2 linked regions of the Oryctolagus cuniculus genome follow. The protein of the gene in region 2 interacts with the protein of the main gene of each other region in a pairwise test. Links are inferred from orthologs where the notes say so. Each region holds a gene or a part of one and is shown on either strand. Other genes may lie near its edges.

Evidence for each region.
Region 1: the proteins of EEA1 (region 2) and RAB5B interact in binary tests that used the Homo sapiens proteins (3 or more experiments, as listed by UniProt). The link is inferred for Oryctolagus cuniculus from reciprocal best matches to the Homo sapiens genes EEA1 and RAB5B.

What each region holds. Positions count from the first base shown.
Region 1 is NC_091442.1:58,781,612-58,784,323, reverse strand, and holds part of RAB5B (ras-related protein Rab-5B), read right to left. Parts: intron 1,464-2,712; coding exon 1,312-1,463; intron 1,076-1,311; coding exon 953-1,075; intron 397-952; coding exon 303-396; intron 1-302. UniProt on the Homo sapiens protein: The small GTPases Rab are key regulators of intracellular membrane trafficking, from the formation of transport vesicles to their fusion with membranes.
Region 2 is NC_091442.1:96,147,682-96,152,179, reverse strand, and holds the start of EEA1 (early endosome antigen 1), read left to right. Parts: upstream 1-1,530; 5' UTR 1,531-1,545; coding exon 1,546-1,562; intron 1,563-4,498. UniProt on the Homo sapiens protein: Binds phospholipid vesicles containing phosphatidylinositol 3-phosphate and participates in endosomal trafficking.

The sequences.
Region 1 (2,712 bases), about 37 Mb from region 2:
TAGATTTTACTCAAACCCCACCCCCACCCCACCCCAAAAGGCTACTGGGTGGGAAAGGGGGAATTCTAGAGATTAAAGGAATGTTTTGAAGAGGAAGGGCTCACTGTTTGCAAACTACATTAAAGACAAGGGGCTAAATCTGCAGCCAGAAGATAGAGGTCATAACAGAAAGCTAAGGTATTTCCATACCCAGGATTTTTGTAAGAGGAGACATTCCCACCTATCCTTGTTTTGAACTAGTGATGATTTTACCTACAGAGAAGGGGAAAAGACAGGAGGGCCTGAGGCTGCTCTGACCTTACCTATTGCCAGGAAGAGATCGTTCACGTTCATAGCCGTCTTGGCTGAAGTCTCCATAAACAATAAGCTGTTGTCATCTGCATATGCCTGGGCCTCCTGCAAGGGGTGGGGTGTATTGGTGCTCAGAATGTAAGGTGGGAACAAGTGTTGCCCTTCTGCTCTCTTGTAGCACCAGAGTTAGGCAATATTCTAGGTTCCCTCCCCTTAATTAATGCCCCTTTGTACCAACTGGCCCTGGACCCATAATTTGGTGGTGACTCCCTCAAGATAAACCCATGTCCACTCAGTTCAACAAACAGATGCCAGGAAGCTTAATTACAGGGGAGAGGATAATTTGGTTGGGGATTTTTGGATTCTGACACTTGAACAGTCCTTTACATAAAATTCAGTGGCTCCCTCTTTCCTGTTTTCACACTGGTACCCCCACAGCTTGTTACTTCCCTAACACACTGTGCTCTGGAATTTTCTTCTGACTCTTACAATCCCCTGGTTGTCATCAGTGTTATAGTGTTGTTGTATGTAACTTAATGAGGAACAGAGGAATGAGACAATGAATGTCCTTAGATAAGGTTTTCAGAGAGAGCTGGCTTGGGAAGGAGAGGCCCCAGGTATACAGCAAGTGTGTTAGAGGGGACTCTGCAGGCCATCTTACTTCATACTCCACCATGCGCTTGTTGGCCAGGTCAGCTTTGTTCCCCGCCAGGGCAATAACGATGCTAGGACTGGCCTGCCTCTGTAGTTCCTTTACCCATGTCTTTGCTCGGGCAAATGTTTCCTAGGAAAACAAGAAGAGAATGAGTGTGCTGGAATGACTGCCAGTCCACATCCATAACCTTTAAAACAGTCTCAAAAGTCACCTCTTCTAGGAACCTTCTCTCACTAAAAGTATGGGTCTCTGCTAAGTCATTCCTTCCAACGTTTTTGGCGCTTGGAAGCATAATTTGTACTCGTATTTTGCTATATCAGGAAGCTCTTTTGTCTCGCCCACCTAAGTGTTCTCAGCCCACTTACCTGATTAGTAATGTCATAAACAACAATCGCAGCTTGGGCACCCCTGTAGTACATGGGAGCTAAGCTGTGGTATCGCTCTTGCCCAGCTGTGTCCCAGATCTCAAACTTGACTGTTGTATCATCTAGACAAACAGACTGGGTGAGGAAGGCCGCTACAGATGAGAGAACACAAGGAAAACAGTTGTAAGTGGGAGGACGAATGGAAACACACAAGCCCCCTTCAAAATATCTCTACCCTAAGACCACTGAAGCTACTCAGCTACAGGAAAAGGCCTGGCTTTCTCCTAGAGCCGGATTAAGACTGCCTTTGCCATTTTTTGCTTTATCATGCACAGGCCAGAGAAGGCAAATAGGACTACAGATCAGATCTTTTGATGGGTTTTGTTCCCACCATGTTACTGACTGTCAAGGGTTTGTTGTTTTGTTTTGTTTTCCCCCAAAATTGTGCTTAAAAACCACTAACCCTCCGGGTTTTGCCTCTCTTGGAGCCCACCTACTGGCAACTCTGCCAGGAGGTCTCTGACGTAAATAAATCTTGCTTAAAAAAAAAAAAAAACAAAAAAACCAAAAAAAACCAGACTGCTGCCTTTGCTTAAGTCCTTCTAGTCAGAAGTTTCTCTGGCTGATGAACAGGGGCACATCATAAACTATAAGGAAAAGAGAACTAGTACTTATACCAGTTGTGCCTCTACTAATCAAAACTGGAATAACAAATAATGATGGAGACATCAAGTTTCAGATAAAAGTCTCATCAAGAATTAATTAGAAGGATGGACATAGGAGCAGTGGTTAAAACACCACTTGGAATGCCTGCATCTCATATCTGAGTGCTTGGGTTTGAGTCCCTGGGAAACAGCAGATGACAGCCCAATTTGGGTCCCTGCCACCCAGTGGGAGACCCCAGATTGGATTTCAGGCTCCTGGTTTTGGCTTGGCCCAGCCCCAGATGTTGTAAGCATTTGGAGAGTGAACTAGTGGATGGAAGATCTGTGACTGTATGTCTCTGTTATTCAAATAAAAATGAAAATAAAAATCAAAAGAACTGGGGTTGGCATAGTGGCACAGCGGGTAAAGCCACCATCTGCAATGCTGGCATCCTATATGGGCACCTGGTTGAGTTCCAGCTGTTCTGCTTCTGATCCAGCTCCCTGCTGATGCACCTGGGAAAGCAGAGGAAGATGGCCCAAGTGCTTGGGCCCATGCACCCATGTGGAAGACCCAGAAGAAGCTCCTGCCTGACTTCGGCTGTTGTGGCCATTTGGGGAGTGAACCAGTAGATGGAAGACCTCTCTCTCTCTAACTCTGCCTTCCAGATAAATTAAGTGAATGTTTAAAAAAATCAAAAGAATTGTGTTCAACAGTTAAGCTGCCACTTGGGACACCTGTATCTCATGTATCTTT
Region 2 (4,498 bases):
CTTATTTCCAAAGTTGTAAGCAGGAAGATCCCTGAGATCACGCCTAATGCGTTCATATTCTTGCCTCATATGTACATTAATTAAAGAGGAATTTTATTGTTATAGGGCTCAAAACACATAAAATTCTACCTGCAGTAGAAAACTCAAATTTAATATAAAAACGGGAGGCTTAAGTGTATCAGAGATTAATACATGAAAATACAAATTGTTTAAAAGGCAAATATATGAAGTTAACTGTCTTTTCCCTGAAAGAACATCCGCATGGTAGATTTGTATGCTTGTAAGGCCAGCTGAGTGACAGCTACTTCTGGGTCTACTGGGATTTTTTTCCTTTTATTTATTTACTTTTAAAGATTTATTTATTTATTTATTTGAAAGGCAAAGTTACAGAGAGGCAGAGAGAAAGCGAGAGAGAGGTCTTCCATCCACTGATTCACTCCCTAGATAGCTGCAACGACTGGAGCTGTGCCCATCTGAAGCTGGGAGCCAGGAGCTTCTTCTGGGTCTCCTATGTGGATTCAGGGGCCCATCTTCCGCTCCTTCCCAGGTACATTAGCAGGGAGCTGTATTGGAAGTGGAGCAGCTGGGACTTTAACCGGCACCCAAATGGGATATTGGCACTGCAGTTGGTGGCTTTACCTGCTACGCCATAGCACTGGCCCCTCTTTTTATTTTTTTGGAGATTTATTTATTTATTTGAAAGGCAGAATTACAGAGGTGGGGGAGGGGTGGAGAGGAAAACAAAGATATCTTCTATCCACTGGTTCACTCCACAGATGGCTGGAATTCCATCCAGGTCTCCCACATGGATATAGTGGCCCAGTATTTATTCCATCTTCTGCTGCTTTCCCAGACACATTTGTAGGAAACTGAATTAGAAGTGGAACAATCAGGACTGAAACTGATGCTCACATGGGATTCTAACATTGCAGGCAGAGGCTTAACTTGCTGTGCCACAATGCCAGGCCCTACTGGGAATTTTTCTAATGATTCTGGGAAATCTGCATCTTTTTTGTTTGCTTTTTCTGTTTTCATTTTTGCTGACAAGTGTTCCAGTGACAGTAGTTGTCCTAATATTCATTGCTTCCCTCTTCTTAGAGAATCCTGATTTTTTGATTGGACATTTGGCCACTCAGAGAAAAGATGCATTCCTCAGGTTTCCTTGTAGAAACCATGTGACTAAGTTGATGTAAAAATACATATAATATATGCAGGCTAAAGGGCTGTGAAGGGGAGAGAGGTGACCTTGAAAGGGAATGTGTTCTCTCCTTCCTTTCCCCATTTTCTCAGTTGGGATGTAGGTGCTGTAGTGAGCTGCATGGGCCATGCAGACACCTCAAATCCTCCTCTATGTGGCTTGAGTCCTGGAAAAATGCTGGTTTAACATTGAGAGTGTCATTCATGTTATCAACATACTTGTAATATTGTATATCAAACTTCTGACTTTAATGCATGTTCTACCTACAATCTGAAAATCTAGAATATGAGAAGCATTGTACAGCCAAATGAACAAGATAATGGGCATCAGAAAGCATACTGGCCACCATGTTTATCCTGAATCTGTGAGTAACCCATGAAAACAAAAAGATCGTCTCCAGGATGACAGGAATAGGAGTTGGCTACATTTGATTTTCTTTGCTGTTTGCAGCACACCCAGCACTGCGCTGCTGTGGTGGGGTTCAAGGGCCTTCAGTTCTCGCCAGGTTTTCCCCTCCATTGTCTTCCAGCCCTGTGTCTGATCCTCCTCCTGCTATGGGAAAATGGCAGCGGAGAAATTATTATTACCTCGACTCTTGGTCTCACATGGAAGAATTTCCAAGCAAACAGACAAAGATAAAAGCTAGATTTAAAGGTTTAAAGCAAGATTTATTAGAGCCAAAGACCTCCAGCCACAGTGGCATGGAAGAGGGCTGCAAGAGAAGCAGAACCCAAAGAACCCATGGCACTAGGGTTTTTAAGTACAATTTTTGGGACAAGACTGTCAATAAGGTGGGGAAAACACCAACAAAAGACCTGATTTACAATTCTTTATCCTGTCTGGCTAGCTCCTCAACAATCACAAGGGTGGGATACCTGATTTGTTTTCACAATACACTGGGAGCTCAGAAGGGTGGAGTCACCACTCCCTTGCTATTCTCATGATAAGATTGGAAGCTCCCAAGGAGTGGGCAGGCAGGCACTTCTGATCTTGCTAAGGATAACTTTTTGGGAGGGATATTTTCCACCTTCAGTTTCCAGAGTGCCTATTAACTCAGGACTTCTTACACTCCTGTCCCTGTGATGCCCACATTCTGGAAGCCTCCATGAGCTGGCATGCCTGGCCCTCCCTTGTCTTGTGAGAGGAAGGCAGCCAGTATCACTGCCCCAGATTTACAGACAGAGCAACTGAGTCATTTTTCTATTGTTGTTGGACCAAAGTTATCCAGTGAGTCATTCTCAAGCCTGAGAACCGGATCCTAATGCTTGTTCCTGGCGCCATTCATGGAGCTGAATTCCACCAAGGGTTCAAGAGGATGCTGGACATTGAATGGCTCAGAGAGGAATGTATTTGCATGTGACTGAGGCAAAAACAAGGATTAACTCTCTTGACACCTGCATGCTTGAAAAAGAAGGGGAGAGAAATGTATTTGTGTACCGTATTATCACCATCATACCAACATCCTTACTCTTTCTCTAAATGCCCTGCAACTTCTTTGTTTTATGGCTTCCTTTGTACTTCATTTTTAAATTAAAAAAAAAAATCTTAATTGCAATTGCTTCATCTTGCAGCAGGGTTATTTCTGTGGATTTAGATCTGAGAGGAAACTAAATTTATTTCCTTTTCACAAGAGAATCTTTAAATTATCTGGCAGAGTTAAAAAAAAAAAAACCTTGCTTCTGTAATAAAATTAGAAATGCAAGCCATTCCAAATACAAGCTGTTTGTATTTACTAGGAAGATGCTTTTTATGTAGCATTTTTCTGCATAGTTTAGAATTTCCTAATTTTTTCTCTTACATGGTGTTTTTCTTGAATTACCTGTCATCCTGCTTATTCATCCCCTTCCTGACTATTCAAGCTCAGGAAGTGAGAGGCACAGGTGTGTCTGTAATGGTAACCGCAGGGTTCTAAGCAGCTATCACAGTTGAAGGCAAGTTGCAGTCTTCTACATTCAACTTCATGGCTATAGGAGAAGGTAACATTTTAGAAAGCAAAATAGAATTATTTCTTTCTTTCTTTCTTTTTCTTTTCTTTTTTTGACAGGCAGAGTGGACAGTGAGAGAGACAGAGAGAAAGGTCTTCCTTTTGCCGTTGGTTCACCCTCCAATGGCCGCCATGGCCGGCGCACTGCGGCTGGCGTACCGCACTGATCTGAAGGCAGGAGCCAGGTACTTCTCCTGGTCTCCCATGGGATGCAGGGCCCAAGCAGTTGGGCCATCCTCCACTGCACTCCCGGGCCACAGCAGAGAGCTGACCTGGAAGAGGGGCAACCAGGACAGAATCCGGCGCCCCGACCGGGACTAGAACCCGGTGTGCCAGTGCCGCTAGGTGGAGGATTAGCCTATTGAGCCGCGGCGCCGGCTGCAAAATAGAATTCTTACTAGGAATCTAGGAATCCTCATGGTTGCCTTTGTTTAAAATGTTTATCTGTGTGAACTCTTTAGTCCCTCCCAGGACCCCCTGAGTCAGGGTCCTGGAAGATACATCCTGGAATCTGCATTGTATTAAGCTTCCAGAGGTTCCTACATTCACTGGAATTTGAGAGTCTGCTTTGAGGGTTCTATGGGTGGTCTTCAGGTGCCTTGTGAAGCCCCTCAATGTATATATAAAGTGTCATGTGGGTTTGTGCATTTTTTAAAAAAAAATTATTTATTTATTTGAAGGAGTGGTAGAAACAGAGAAGAAGAGATCTTCCATCTGCTGGTTTATTCCCTAAATACCCCCAACAGCTGAGGCTGGGCCAGGCTGAAGCCAGAAGCCCAGAACTTCATCTGGGTCATCCTTGTGAGTGACAGGAATGCAAATACTTAGACCATTATCCACCACCTTTCCAGTAGCATTGGCAGGGAGCTAGATCAGGAGTAGAGGAGCTGGAACTCCAACCAGCACTCCAGTGTGGGATGCTGGCGTCCCAAGTGATGGCTTAACTTGCTGAAACATAACTCCTGCCCCTACTTGCATTTTTCTGAGGGAGATTCTCAAAGGATTTTGTGGCTCTAGCAAAGGTTAAACCCCAATGCATAATGTTTAATAAAGAGAAAAAAAATCTAATCTCATTAGTATACATGAGAGTGAAAATTAAAACAAGATTATCACATTGAATCCACAAATTTTTTAAAAAAATCATTGGTTGACAAAGATGTAGAGAAATAGGAATCCACACATTGTTAATAGTACAGACATTTTGGGGGAACAATTTGATGATAGTGAAACTTAAAATACATTCTGTTTACAGTCCATCAAGTACACTTTTAAATAAATACCAACAACTCTTGAACATAAGAACATGACATGTTTAA